Linked DNA regions of Schizosaccharomyces pombe. The main gene of each other region encodes a partner of the protein of the gene in region 2 in a complex. Each region holds a gene or a part of one and is shown on either strand. Other genes may lie near its edges.

Region 1 (7,168 bases), on a different chromosome or scaffold from region 2:
GCTGTAGGCCTTGTCACACAGATTATAAAAGGAGAGGCGGTTGCTGTCATTTCATTCGTCTTTAAAACAATTTTTCACGTTTCATACATATTTTTATTATTCTTTTTAGTTAAGAAAGAAACAAACTTAAAACCTCTCTCTCATCTATATCAAAGGAATTAATTCATCTTACTGTGCTCTGTATATTTCCTTTGTTTATCACATACTATACTATACTATACTATACTATACTATACTATACTTTTTTTTTTTTTTTTTTAATAAACCCAAATTTGTTTGTTTGACTTGCTTTTGAGATCCTTGTATCATTCCTCCTCTTTCTTTGTTGAGCTTTTTCATTTCCTTTGACCAATCTTTTCTCTTCTTTTCACCTCTATTCTCTTCTCTTCTCCTTCTCTTTTTCATTCTATCCTTTTGCTCTTCTTACTTGCTTGCTTGTCTTGTTTAAGTAGCGTGTTTTGTTGTACTCCTGTATCATGTCTTCCGAAAAAGTCCTCGTTGGTGAATACCTTTTCACCCGTTTGCTGCAATTGGGCATCAAATCCATCCTCGGTGTACCCGGCGACTTTAACTTGGCTTTGCTCGATTTGATTGAGAAAGTGGGCGACGAAACGTTTCGCTGGGTCGGTAATGAAAACGAGCTAAACGGTGCTTATGCCGCTGATGCTTATGCTCGTGTTAAGGGCATTTCTGCCATCGTCACCACTTTTGGCGTCGGTGAACTTTCCGCACTCAACGGTTTCGCCGGCGCATACTCTGAACGTATTCCTGTCGTTCACATTGTCGGTGTTCCCAACACCAAGGCTCAAGCCACTCGTCCCCTTCTTCATCACACACTGGGAAATGGTGACTTTAAAGTCTTCCAGCGTATGTCCTCCGAGTTGTCTGCCGATGTCGCCTTCCTGGATAGCGGTGACTCTGCCGGTCGTCTCATCGACAACCTGTTGGAAACGTGCGTTCGCACTTCAAGACCCGTTTATCTGGCCGTTCCTTCGGACGCCGGCTACTTCTACACGGATGCTTCTCCCTTGAAGACTCCATTGGTTTTCCCTGTTCCCGAAAACAACAAGGAGATTGAGCACGAGGTGGTTTCTGAGATTCTCGAATTGATCGAAAAATCCAAGAACCCTTCTATCCTCGTTGACGCTTGTGTTTCCCGCTTCCACATTCAACAGGAAACCCAAGACTTTATTGATGCGACCCATTTCCCCACTTACGTTACTCCCATGGGTAAGACTGCGATCAATGAGTCATCCCCCTACTTTGATGGCGTCTACATTGGCTCCTTGACCGAGCCTTCCATCAAAGAACGTGCCGAATCTACTGACTTGCTTCTCATCATCGGTGGTCTTCGCTCCGATTTCAACTCGGGCACCTTTACTTATGCTACCCCTGCATCTCAAACCATCGAATTTCATTCCGACTACACCAAAATTCGTTCTGGCGTTTACGAGGGCATTTCGATGAAACATTTGTTGCCCAAGCTCACCGCTGCCATTGACAAAAAGTCCGTTCAGGCAAAGGCCCGTCCTGTTCACTTTGAGCCACCAAAGGCTGTTGCTGCTGAGGGTTACGCCGAAGGAACCATTACCCACAAATGGTTCTGGCCTACGTTTGCCTCTTTTCTTCGTGAGTCCGATGTAGTGACTACCGAGACAGGTACCTCCAACTTTGGTATTTTGGATTGCATTTTCCCCAAAGGCTGCCAAAATCTCTCACAGGTATTATGGGGCTCAATTGGTTGGTCGGTTGGCGCTATGTTTGGTGCTACGTTGGGCATCAAGGATTCCGATGCTCCTCACCGTCGTTCCATATTGATTGTTGGTGACGGTTCCCTTCATTTAACTGTTCAGGAAATTTCTGCTACCATCCGTAACGGTCTCACCCCTATCATATTTGTAATTAACAATAAGGGATATACAATTGAACGTCTCATTCACGGTCTTCACGCTGTTTACAACGACATCAACACTGAATGGGACTATCAAAACCTTCTTAAAGGCTATGGTGCCAAAAATTCTCGCTCCTATAACATTCATTCAGAAAAGGAGCTCCTCGATCTCTTTAAAGATGAGGAATTTGGAAAAGCTGATGTAATTCAGCTCGTTGAAGTTCATATGCCTGTCTTGGATGCTCCTCGTGTTTTGATTGAGCAAGCCAAACTTACCGCTTCTCTTAACAAGCAGTAAAAAATATGGCTATGGCTATATTATTATGATATGTTTTTGATTTTGAAATTTACAATATTTCTCAAATGATGCTTTTGTTAGGTTAGTTAATTTGCAACAGTCGTTTTTTTTTTCTACGTCAATCCATATTTCTTTCATAAAATGAATGAATATATTGAAGTTTATGCAGCGGTTGTTTTTTTGTTGGTAATTAGGATTCATTGAATGATTTATTTTTTTTTTCTTTTTGCATCCCCTTACTCCAAGGTAGACTTGTCCAGATAATTCCCTGTTAGTATAAACTCAATAACATAAAAAAAGGTCATTGAGACGACTGGTAATGAGTAGCAGCAATAGAATCACTAAATAATATAGTACCTTCAATTTGGTCTCTCGTCTATGTCTTTGGCATAGATGGTAGATACAAAGCATTCGCTACAACCAAATCTTCCTCATGGCTTACAGATACCATTACGGGAGAAAGCGGAAATCGGGGATCATGAATAACAACGGAAGGGTAGCCTATATTAATCATAACAAAGTCAGTAACTTTACAAACCTTTTATTTTTAAACATTGAACATGGAAAACAAATGACACACCTGTGGGAGTTCGAACATACTCCATCATAGACATGTAAACTCGAAAATTCGGTTGTAAAGCTTTGAAAACAGCTTCTTTGACGCACCATCTACATAGGAAAATAACCGTTAAAACTATGAAACGATCATAAATATAGACAAGCATACCTAACAGCAAGCCATTTAGCCTGTTCGCTTAAACGAGGCAGCGAGGAATTGCTTTTAATCAGGTTGTACTTTTTAATTTCATTTTCACACAGACATTTTTTTAAAAAGTTCTTTTCCCATTCAGGAGAGCGTTGAATTAATCTTGAGATTCTTGAAATTTTTAAAATGTCAATCCCTAAACCCATTTCGATTTTTGATTCTTTATAACATGAACAGGAAATATTAATGGTAATGCAAGAAGAAAAAAAGAAATCTATGGCTTCAATAATTTTGAACGCTTAATTAATAATATATTGTAAACTAAATTTCCGACACACTAAACGAGATATAAAAATCTTTATCCTTAAATAAAATGAAATAAATTTATCTAATTCATTATCGATTAGTGCCCCCAAAGACATCAAATCCAATTCGTTTCGTAGCGAATGCAGTAGCAGGAGTTTTTACTGTAACAAGTGTACTCTCTACTCACTCCCAGTTACAAAAGTGTTCAAAGGGAACCAAAAATTATATATTTGTAATCCTTTCAATCACGAAAAAAAAAATTTCATATGGTAAGAGATAGAATTTATCTCTAGATAATACGAGTACTAACCATATAGTCACACTTTGAGATTTTATCCCTTGAAGGTCTTCGAAATGGTAAGCCAATTCATTTATGGGAAATGAAAAAGAAACTTAAAATTTACATTCAAACATCTATGATTCTTATAAAATGTATTAATCTTTCTGTGTGCTAATATTTGTTGCAAGATGGTCGACGGTGGGATGAGATGAGAAACTTTCAGTGTCGTATTGGAATCGAGCCTTCGGAGAATGGGTCGGCGTTTATTGAATTGGGTAACACAAAGGTCTTGTGTATAGTCGATGGACCCTCGGAGCCTGTAATAAAGTCCAAAGCTAGAGCTGACAGAACATTTGTGAATGTCGAAATAAACATTGCTTCTTTCAGCACAATAGATGTGAAAAAGAGATTTAAATCGGATAGGAGAATTCAATTGCAATGTTTAGCTTTACAAAATACATTTGAGGAGATAATTCAAACAGAATTATATCCCAGAAGTCAAATTTCTGTCTACTTGCATGTTTTACAAGATGATGGTGCAGTAATGGCATCTTGTATCAACGCTACTACTCTTGCCTTAATAGATGCTGGTATACCAGTTAAAGATTTCGTTTGCTGTAGTACAGCTGGGATTGTTGAGTCTGATATGCTGTTGGATTTAAACTCACTAGAGGAGTCAGCTCTTTCATGGTTGACGGTTGCTGTTTTGGGGAACATAAAAAAGGTCGTATATATGCAGCTGGAAACTAGTATGCATTTGGATTATTTGGAGTCAGTAATGAATATGGCGATCGCTGGATCAGAACATATTTATAACACGATGCAAAGTGCGGTTCGACAAAGCGCTAAACCGGCACTTGCAAGTCTCAGCTAATGACAAAATTTTGGGGAAAAAAACTATTAAAAATAAATGAACGGGAAGATTAATTTTTATAATTATACATTGATAAGTCATCACAATTGCAACTTTACTTAGCTCTACGATATTCTGACAAAACGTATACAGCTTTACTCATTTTATTCCTAGTACAACGTTTTTGTCCTTATCCTTGGTATTTCTGTATAAGTATCAAAAAAATCACCTCGAATATCGTATATAATCTTTTAATGATTGCGTCCCTTTTTTGTCTAAAGGGGCTTATATTACAAAAAATATGGATTGTACTGTAGATATTATGCATCAAAAAAGGCTCATTAATTAGTTGAAGATTTTATGAATAAATTCGGTTATTCAGATCTCACTTATTATAATAAATTGATTATTTTTTGGGGGAGGCTTTCATAAACAACCGGGAATTTTTCATTCAACAGATATTACAGATTGATGTGGATTAAAAAGAAAATATATATATATATATATATTTTTTTAGATTTTTAGATATAAGAAACCTAAGGTTTATTATGAGAATCGTAAAACTGTTTTTCGAGATAAATGTTAAATTTGTTAATGTTAAAATATGAAAAACACAGTATTTTTATTTTATATATTTCTATAATGGTGCAAACTAACAGTAGCTCTTGTAGCTCAGTGGTAGAGCGCCTGTCTCGTAAACAGGAGGTCCAGTGTTCGAGTCACTGCCGGAGCAGTTTTTATATTTTTCGATCACAGATCGGCCTTTCTAATAAGCATTGAAAGCTACAAAATGAGTATACTAAGATACTTATTAATGCATATTCTTGTAAATAGGGTTTCTCACAATTCATCGAATATACATACTCAAATTCTGCCGTTACTAGTTGATTGCTGATTTCAAGGACATCTTGATTAATAAAATGGAAGAATCGCTGTAGGATCAACAGTTAATATTACCTTCGTTTTAAAAATGAGGAATCTCGTGCCGTTCAACCAAAGTAAAAATGAAACTTCGTCAAACTGCATGACTAAGTTTCCCCTTTCTGTTTTTGATGCTTTCATAGCACTGTCAAGAATACCGTTGCGCAAATATCTGGCAATTATATACATACCAGTTCATCGCGGCCTGATTTAAGTTTTGTACGTTTTATTGTTTTCAATTGTTTTTACTAGACAGCATACTGAAATATGCCTTCAACAGTTTTTAATTTTATCAGTTTGATTGAATACATCAGTTTCCCTAAATGCTTTCTATCTTTGCCTTCAAAAACTTATTGCTTATACATGTTATAAATATACTATTTAAACGTCTACGGCCATACCTAGGCGAAAACACCAGTTCCCGTCCGATCACTGCAGTTAAGCGTCTGAGGGCCTCGTTAGTACTATGGTTGGAGACAACATGGGAATCCGGGGTGCTGTAGGCTCATCTTTTTTTGTTGATGATTTGCTTCTTTTTATATTAACATATTTGGAAAATACTTGTAATTAATTTAAAGCGGCTTTTCTCATTCTAGGTACTAGATGAGTACTTTCGTTACAGCGCAATTCTTGTATTGACCAGGTACGAATCGGAATGGAGGACATCCCACAACAGACAAAAAATGAAATACAATTCACAAATTAGTACCACATCTTGTTCATTTTCATGAACAAGTGTTAAAGAACTTTTATATTTATATAAAAGACATATTCAACTGGTTGTCTTTACTAAGTTTAGATGCATTCTTGATTCAATGTATCTACGAGAAGCGCATTGAAAAAAAAAAGTTTGTTTGTAATAGTTTATATTCAAAGACTGTTGAAAACACATTTCCTCAACTATTCTTGAGTTTGGCATTGATAACCTTTTGAATTTCATTAATACGAGTTCTCACTTTTTTTTGTAATCCAAAAAACGGTGATGGATGGTTTGTAAGGCAATGGATTAACAACTTTTCAATAAAATAATTCTTTACTCTAGTCAAAGGAACAAGTGGAATCAATTAGACAGAGTCTTCTATTCGTAAACTTTCCAATTGTAATTTTCGTTTGAGGGAAAAGAAAGTTTAAGTATATTATCTGTAATTCTAAACGATGTAGTAAACTAGTAGTTTATTAAACACTTTAGTTTATTAAATACTTTACTGCTAGTTTATTCAGCGTTCGGCTGGTAAGCCAGTTATCACCGATCGTTATGTGCTTTTAGATACTAATAAATCTTCTTTAAGGAAACTTTTTAAATATAAAGAATAATTATTGATAAACAGTTAAGTTAAAATGACCAATGTCTGGGTTCTGAAAAGAAGCAAAATTGGCCCCTAGAGTTTAGAAGTGGGTAGTCCACACAAATTTTTACTCAGAACCAAACACTCAACACTTTGCAAAAATGTCGACGACAAGCTGCAGAATGTACGAGAATCGCTTCCCGGAAGTGGATGAACTCGTTGTTGTCAACGGTATGTAAAAAATGCACATGTTGTCTGTCTAAAGAAACGGTAATGGCTAATATTTCCAATAGTTCGTCAAATCCAGGAGATGGGCGCTTATGTAAAATTGTTGGAATACGATAATATTGAAGGAATGGTTTTGCTCTCTGAGCTTTCCAGACGTCGTATTCGTTCAGTACAAAAGCATATTCGCGTTGGTCGTAATGAAGTCGTCGTGGTCTTACGTGTCGACAAGGAAAAAGGTAAGAATTTATTAGTAGTTTTTTTTTTTTTTTTTTTTAAAAAAAAGAAAAACAAAAGGGGAAAAAAGGTTTATAAGTTGTTAGGAATGTACTAACCAGGATTAAGGATACATCGATCTTTCAAAGCGCCGTGTTAGCCCTGAGGATGTTGTAAAGTGCGAAG
Region 2 (8,646 bases):
AATTTAGTAGGCCCTCTGTTAAATCCTATTCCTACTTATGCTCGTATTATCGGAGTTAGTAAGCTTTCGTTAGGAGAAGTTGTTGCTAAGACATTATTGAAACTTGGAGCTGGTCGATCATTAGTTGTTTGTGGTGAAGAGGGTTTGGATGAAATCTCTCCCGCTGGACCTACGCATACATGGCTTGTTCGTGACGGAACAATTACTCATGAAGTATACACTCCAGAGTCTTTCCATCTTCAGTCTCATCCTCTCTCCAGTGTAGCCAGTGGCACTCCATCTGCAAACGCCATTCTTTTGGAGGAGTTATTATCAAATATGCTGCACGCTAATCATCCGATTTTGGATTATGTGTTGATGAATACTGCAGCGTTACTTCATGTTGCTGGAATGGCTGAATCTCTTAGAGAGGGTGTCAAAATTGCTCAACAGAGTATCTCTTCTGGGGCAGCACTGAGAGAGCTAAGTAACTTTTCTACTATTAGTCAGCAACCCTAAGGTTTTTATTTCCAAGCTACATTATATCCTAGAACATATATCCGTTCAGACCCCATTTTTGTATATTCCCTTTCTCTTTGTTTTTCAACGTGCCTTTGCAAAAAAAAGCATTATTGTTCTTTTTTTTTACGTTTGTTGTTTATTCTCACTCCTTTTCCATATGGGATATTTTTCTTTAGCTTAGGTCTTATATATCAGTTAGTTATGGATCTATAAAAATCGTATTAGCGATTGAACTGTAGTATATTTAAAATTTATATATCATGTTTACTTAAGCTTAATGTCTTAGATGGGATATTAAGCACAATTGTGTTACGTTTCGCTATATAAAATAGCGAAATACAATAATCCAACAATTTGTGAATAGATAAAAAGTAGCAGACTAATATCATCCGAATTGCGGACCCCATTCCTTTGTATTCAATCTGGGGATCATATAGAAAACTGTCGATTTGATTGTGAGAGCATGATTTCGAAGTTACTGAAAATAGTCCTTTTAACTGCAGGTGTTATTGGCAACACACTTGCTGATTCTAGAATTCATGAACAATATCTTGTAAAAGCATTTCCTAATGAGCCTGTTGATTATGAGGGAAGAATGCATGCTGGACACTTAAATCAAACGGATCAGCTGGATGGTGATTTGTTTTTCTGGATGTTTGAATCCGTAAAACCCGAATACGAACATCGTTCTGTAAGTATTTCAAGTGAATGTTTTTAAATTAAATTATATATTATACAAATTACTAATTTGATAAAAGATTCTTTGGTTAAATGGAGGTCCTGGCTGCTCTTCAGAAGACGGCTCGCTGATGGAAGTTGGACCATTCCGTCTTGATGACAATAATACATTCCAATTGAACCCTGGACGCTGGGACGAATTGGGTAATTTGCTTTTCGTAGACCAACCCCTAGGCACAGGGTATTCATACTCTCTGGCTAAGGATTTTCAATCTAACAATGAGAAAATGGCCAATGATTTTTCTATTTTCTTTGAGAAATTCTTGGAGGAGTTCCCAGAAAGAGCAAATGATGAATGGTTTATCGCCGGAGAATCATTTGCTGGTCAATACATTCCCCATATCGCTGCAAAGTTGAAAGAAAAAAATCTTGTTAACTTGGGAGGCCTTGCAATCGGAAATGGATGGATTAACCCACTTTCTCATTATGAAACATACCTAAATTATTTGGTAGAAAAAGGCATGGTTGATTTTGAATCAGAGCTGGGTCAATATTTACATCATTCTTGGGCGGAATGTTTACTTGCTTTTGACAAGATAGGTTCCGGATCTGGTGATTTATCTAAGTGCGAAAGTTTTCTTGGCGATATTTTATACATGGTGTCAAAGGAACCTGGGAAAGCATGTATGAACATGTATGACATTAGCTTAGAATCGACATATCCTACTTGTGGAATGGACTGGCCTTACGATCTTTCCTATCTTACTGAATTTTTAAGTGTATGTTTATAATTATATGATAATATATCTTTTACTAACATTGTCAGACTCGTGAAGCGATGACTTCCTTAAACGTTAACCTCGAAAAGGTTCATGATTGGGAAGAATGTAATGACGACGTTGCCCTACAATATGCTCGTGAAGGGATTGAGTCCTCATCTAAGTTAATCCAGGACCTTGTATCTACGGTTCCTATTTTGTTGTTTTACGGCGAAAATGACTTTCTTTGTAATTATTTATCTGGCGAAAAATTAACCCGATCACTGGAGTGGAATGGTGCTGTTGGTTTTCAAAATCAATCTGCTCAACCATTTTATCTTCCGGGCTATTCTGATCAACCATCGGGCTCCTATGTTAGTTCCCGGAACCTGACCTTTGCTCGCATAGTTGAAGCTAGTCACATGGTTCCATACGATCATCCTAATGAAATGAAGACCTTGATTACTGCTTTCTTTAATAATGACTTTGCCAGCTTACCATCGGTACCTAAACCCTCTCCGGATTTAGGTAATGGAAACTACAAATGGCTTTATTTGGGTTTGATTCCTGTTGCTTTAACTATCATTATTTTATTCTCAATTTATTTGTGCAGGAGATTTGGATTATTTGGTCTTAGCAAACAACGCTACCAACCTATATCTCCAACTCCTTAGACTGTATATAAATCTTTTCTGTCGGTTTTTACTTTCACATACAGATTTTCTGCTCTTTATTTTAATCATTTAACTTTTAATCTTGCTTTATCGGTGGTAGAATTTATTTTTTTATCTTGGAACGTTCTTCCCTGGTTTTAAAAAATCTGCGATTATCACCATAAATTTTATCTCTCATCTTTAATCAAATTTCACTTATGGATACATTCTTTGAATTTTTATTTTTGCACATAGTCTCTAAATGATCTCAAATCATGAATATGAAATATCATGTACCAAACATTGTCTTATAGCTATTGTTTGTTCTACAGTTTTTGTAGTTTTTTTATAGGACAGATTAGCGTCAAACGCTAATCTCAATAACGTGTTTGCAATAGTACAGTATATCATGGAGAACTACGTCTTGTAACATGTGTCACAAATGTATAAATACTAGTGAGATCTGTCTGTTTATATTGACAATCCGTTACATCCCTTAATAATCGATTATTATAAATAATTTATAATCGAATCACGTTCCTAAATTCAGTTAGAAGCTATAGCAATGGGAGGATTCTATCACATCTACGCATGAGAACAAAGGAGAACTGCAAGCTAATAACAGATCTACTGTAATCATATTTGACAATCCAAAATCGACGCACGTTATCAGGGACACAATTGATGCGTTTGGTAAATTTTACAGACAGCCTTAACTAAATAGGTCTAGGCAACGAGTGAACTAGCTCTATATCAAAGAAGAAATTGGATAGTTTTATTTCGATGACAACGTCTTTAAATCCATGATCCAATAGGCCCAACTTGCTTGTGGATGGATACTTACAGATGGCACGCTATCGAACAGAACACCAGATATGATCTTATTGCTACTCGGCCAAATTGCATCAAAGTGGTAAATAATATTTCAGCGTAGGTTTTGCATCCAAAATTTTGAAGGAATAGGTTATAATGAAGCACCAACTGCCCAAGCATTTTCAACTGATGTAAACTTGCGAAATTTTTAGAGAATGCGCCTTTTCTGCTGTGTCAATAAACAAGTCTTAGCTAATAAAAAAACATGTCGCAGTAGTACTGACAACGCTATAATTTACTACGTTGTGTATCACATTTGGAACATGTTCTATTTAAACATAGCCTCGTAGATGATAGATATTGGGGCAAATCATTTGATATCTGAAACAAATATTTAGTTTATATGTTCAACAATTTAAATAGGAAACTAAATTTCGTTCCTCACTTTAGTCAGAAGCTAATAACAGAAATAGATCATAAATAATACCTACATATACCAATATTTTCAATGACTCATAGCCGTTATACCTATGTATTATAATATAACAGATCACATGTAAAACTTATCGCGGTTTTGCATATCGTTAAACAGATACAAAACTGCGTAGCATACATAACGAACTTTAGAATATACGCAAGAACTCAACGCAATATTGCAAGGAAAATTATTCTTAAACGATATACCATTAGCCAACATATGCAATTGTCATTACCAGAACTATCGTACACACACAAATCAATAACAGAATTTGAGCCTGCAATTCGGAATGATGGACGTTCGATAGACCAGCTTCGTCCGCTTTCTGGACAAGTAGATGTTCTGCCTGGTACAAATGGTTCTGCTAGAGTTAAATGGGCGTCTTCGGTGGAGATAGTCATAGGTGTAAAAGCAGAAGTGGGTGATGCTACTCCCGAAGGTGGTAAATATGTCGCTTCAGTTGAAATGTACGTGAGATATTTGGAGTTCGTATTAACATTGTTTGGCGTAACAAACAATATGAATCAATTGAAAAAAGCTGGTATGCTAACACTTTTTATGTAGTTCTCCATCTGTTTCAATCCAGAATCGTGAAACCGATGAAATTCCTTCATTCCTTACAAGTGCCCTTCAGGATTTATTAAACGCACTTGCTGTCGACTATTTGAAATTTACACCATCTAAAGCTTGGATTATTCACGTAGATGCTGTTGTAATACTTTCTTCGTCTCCTTACGAAAACATTCTTTCAGCTTTAAGTCTTGCTGCTTATTTAGCATTACAGACTACACGTTTACCTAAAATTTCTACCCCCAATGTCACAGACATCACTATTGGATCTACTAAATATGAGCCTTCCGAAGAATACGATGTTGATTCAGAATGGGAAAATGCATTACCTTTGCAAGGGTTAGAATTAATGTCAGTCATAATTTTGGTTAGTAGCATTGATCAAGTGATAATTGTTGATCCTACAATTGAGGAATCAAGTGTCGCTCAAGTGACATATGCGATTGGTGTTCAAGCTAGTGGTGCTATTAGCTATACCAGGGTCGTGGGTACTGGAGGAGGCTACGCATCCACTGGACGTGCAATAACTGTAGAGCGATATATAGAATTGTTAGAGACTGCGTCTACCGTTGGTACTAAGCTTTTGAACGCCAGCAGCGATATTCTATCTTTTAAGGGTTTAGGATTTTTTGATATTCTTCCATAAATGAATTGGGTTGGGTTGGTCTCCATTTCCTATATAATAGCATCTTTCTCTCTATATATATATATAAATGCAATACTTGGGTTACGGAATCAGGATCAATTTTGTTACATGAAGAGGCATGCATCGGTATTTTTGGTTACTATGGTTGGTCATTGTATTTCGTTTAGGTCAAAGTCATATAGCAAGTATAGTAGATGGGAATAATTTAAGGGAAATGAAATGGTAACGTCTATAAAAATAATAAAGCCTATGCGGCCACTTCTTGGCTTGTTTGGTCAACGTGATCCAACATTTTTTGGATCTTAGAAACAAGTTGCTTCCGTTCAAAACGCAATTTCTCGCTGCCCAGTACGTCAACTCCATCCAATTTTAAAAGCTGTTGTAAAAGTAGTTCACTTATCATTAGTTTCTGTTTGTTTTTCTGCTTTGGATCGTTCGACGGTTTATTTACGTAATTGTCGTACATGGGGGAAAGTTCTTTGTCAACATACTGATCGATGGCTTTTATTTCTCCAGAAATACGCGAAAATACAGGATTCTCCGCTTCCGCTTTCGGAGCGGGCTCAACCGTGTCTTTTTCCTTGGAACCTCGTTGTTGCTTATGTGGTCTTATACATAGAATTTTACTATGATTTTTTAAACCCAATTTTGATAACGAGGCTTTTTTGTCTTTTAAACGCTTGCCAGCGTAAAAAAGCTTGACTTTCTTCTCAGAAATCTCAGTCGTTTCAAGTAAATCATCAATCAGTTCACTTAACGTCTCATTTAGATTGACTGCTACCGGAAATCGCTGATTTCCATAGTGTATTGTAACTGTGCTAGTCTTTTCTGACATTGACGATATTAAGTCGACTTGCTTAACGGATCCAACTCAAGATGTTTTATGTTTTTAAGGCTGATGCTATCCAAAAAAATGAAGGTCTTAATGCGACGCTTAAAAACGAAAGGTAATAAGTTAATAAAAGTATACGAGCGGTCTGGTTATCTAGGTTTGCGGTTCATTATGACTCATAAGGTAGACTCTGCAACTCTGCGTTATATTTGTTAGCAACCATAAAATGAAAAGATTAATAAATAAAGTATGGGATTTTGAAAATTGGAAAAGTAGGAAACAATGATAATTTGACTTACATTTTTTAAACAATCGAATCTTTGCTTTGTGAGATGAAAAACATCACGGAATTGGGTAAGGATCATATGAACTAGAACATTCCGATTAAGTTGGCCATTTTCTATGTTTTTAAGTTGAACTTCCATTTCTTTTCGCAAGAAAGGCTTGGTCAAACTCCACTCTAAACCAATTTCATCATAGCCTTTTGCCAAAGCAACTCCTAAAGAGCTTGGTACAAATTCAGTTACACCTTGGCCCCTTTTTTTTCGTTTTATGACATATTCTCTCTCCTGAACTTTTTCGATGTGCTCTGCCATAGTAGCATCTGTCCCGATTCCATTGGCATCCATCAAGGCAATTAACTCCGGTTCAGTGATATAGGAAGGGGAGGACGTTGAACTGTCCATCATGTCGAGAATGTGGGGTTGGAATTCCTCGTGAAGTCTATACTCTGGTAATTGATCCGAACTTTCCCATTTCTCATATGGATAAACCTCTAAATAATTTTTCTCTGTCACTAGCAATCCCTTTTTAGAAAAAAGCTCTTCTTCCATTTTAACCTGCACCAACGTTTCGGCTCCTTTGGCATTGTCAGAACAACAAGCTAAAAATCTTCTTGTAATTAGCTCATATACTTTCCAATGATCTTGGGAAGGAAGCGCTGACCGGTGAACCATTTGAACGGGATGAATAGGTGGATGAGCGCGATCATTGTGTTTACCTTTTCGGGGCGGTCGATAATCTCCAGCCAAAAGCCTAACATTAGTTATTACGGAAGCCACTATAAGAAAAATTATATTTACCCTTCTGCATAAGAGTCCCATTCTTGTGCACCTGTTAGTTTTTGGATAATCGCATGCAAATTCATTGAAGAGTCAAATTGGTCGGTTTCAGTACGTGGGTAAGAAACAAACCCATTAGTATATAAGTTTTCGGCGAGCTGATGAAAATGATGTTAAAGTTGCAAATTCACTTATAATCAAATCGTACCTCTAAAGTTTTCTTAGCAGAAATTCTTAGATGTTTTGGCCCCAGTTTTGTAAGTTCTACAGTTGATAATGGCAGAGGTTTATACTTGGTTTTTGGTTTTTGAGTTATGTTAACGACCTTAGCAGTTTTGCATTCTAAACAGTTTTCCAAGATGATCATTGTAGTTAATCTGTCAAAAACTTTGGCCCTTTCCCAATTGAACTGAATAGTCTTACCCTGTCTTTTATCAACAAATCGAAGGTGCCAGTAGGTTTCAGGCACAAAGTCTTCTACTCGCTGCCACCGATCAACTACAAAGCCTAATGTAGGGAATTGGCAGGGACCATAACTTATTATTTTATTCTGAAGAATATCGAATGATTTTTGTAATTGAATAGTTTGTAGCCGAGTGAATATTGCACCTAAACGAAAATCAAGTTCAATTCTAGCATCCACAGCATCTGCAGCATTTTTTGAAACATCTCTTGGACGTTTCGCGGCACTGATAATATGTCTGAAAATTAGTTAGCATTTATCTTGAAGGGTTTTTTCTGTAATAAATAAATATCTGCTTTTTAAAACGCTAAGATGTTTATAACTTACGACCGTTCCAAATTATTGAAGTCTGCTCGGATAACCTGAATAGATGGATTGCTGGCTCTAGCTACATTGGAGATTTCCACCCCAATGTGTTCACCCTCACGATCACAATCGGTCCAAATATAAAGGTACTGGGCATTTCTAGCTTCTTTTTTAATATTGTCTGCTAGTACTTCTGCATTCTTTGATACTGAGGTGATGATTTGAGCATCGAATAAAACGTCTTGAGGGACAGAGCTCCAACTAGAATATTCAGAAGGAAAAGAAGCTTCTGTTAAGTGACCGGATACAGAAGTCATTGTAACATCAGAAGATCCAACATTGCCTCCAAAATTAAATGAGAAGTCGTAATTTTTTACATACTTACTTCGTGTATCTCTCTTAAGAGATTAGTAAATTTCAGAAAAGATTAAATTTTTTAACAAACCCTTCTCACGTGTCCACCCCCTAGAATGCTTGCTACCGATTTGGCAATCGAGTTTTTTTCAGCAACACATAGGACGCGCATTTCTTTTAAGAGATGACATTTATTACTTGGATATTGCACACCTTCTAATTATATCTCCCTTTTTTAAAAATGACTGCAGTGTAAAATTCGCGTGTAAGGTGTTAAGGTCGAGATGGCTTTATTGTTTATGCTAACAAATGTTGGTATAATGAAAGGTAGTAAATCGAGGACCAGAAAGTTCATTAAAAAAAATCAAACACCATACCAGTAGTTAATTATACTAGAGAATTAAGAAGAACCTCTTTAGATAAGTAATTATATAATTTTGATGTATGTTGCATTGAAGAAGTCCATGTAATAACTATTTCTTAAGCTTTCATAGTCAGGACGGTTTAATGAATAGATGCGCCGAATGTATAAC

The links. Proteins that work in one complex are often made in the same cells at the same time.
Region 1: rrp42 (region 2) and rrp41 share a complex: the UniProt entries of both Schizosaccharomyces pombe proteins name them as parts of the RNA exosome complex.

Annotation. Positions count from the first base shown.
Region 1 is NC_003424.3:3,159,754-3,166,921, forward strand, and holds rrp41 (exosome 3'-5' phosphorolytic exoribonuclease Rrp41), read left to right. Parts: upstream 1-3,373; 5' UTR 3,374-3,467; coding exon 3,468-3,470; exon of another isoform or gene 3,471-3,518; coding exon 3,519-3,558; exon of another isoform or gene 3,559-3,669; coding exon 3,670-4,355; 3' UTR 4,356-4,601; downstream 4,602-7,168. Other genes in the region: pdc201 (pyruvate decarboxylase), read left to right, coding at 477-2,189; ppt2 (holo-[acyl-carrier-protein] synthase new8), read right to left, coding at 2,566-2,690, 2,770-2,858, 2,917-3,101; tif211 (translation initiation factor eIF2 alpha subunit), read left to right, coding at 6,703-6,772, 6,835-7,005, 7,112-7,168. UniProt on the Schizosaccharomyces pombe protein: Non-catalytic component of the RNA exosome complex which has 3'->5' exoribonuclease activity and participates in a multitude of cellular RNA processing and degradation events.
Region 2 is NC_003423.3:4,227,853-4,236,498, forward strand, and holds rrp42 (exosome subunit Rrp42), read left to right. Parts: upstream 1-4,088; 5' UTR 4,089-4,100; coding exon 4,101-4,348; exon of another isoform or gene 4,349-4,414; intron 4,415-4,445; coding exon 4,446-5,097; 3' UTR 5,098-5,344; coding exon of another isoform or gene 5,345-5,932; 3' UTR 5,933-6,082; coding exon of another isoform or gene 6,083-6,127; 3' UTR 6,128-6,228; downstream 6,229-8,646. Other genes in the region: phosphoribosylanthranilate transferase Trp4, read left to right, coding at 1-498; kex1 (serine carboxypeptidase), read left to right, coding at 965-1,192, 1,260-1,958, 2,006-2,611; BAG family molecular chaperone regulator Bag101, read right to left, coding at 5,345-5,932; top3 (DNA topoisomerase III), read right to left, coding at 6,083-6,127, 6,229-6,964, 7,012-7,148, 7,199-7,691, 7,781-8,157, 8,205-8,285. UniProt on the Schizosaccharomyces pombe protein: Non-catalytic component of the RNA exosome complex which has 3'->5' exoribonuclease activity and participates in a multitude of cellular RNA processing and degradation events.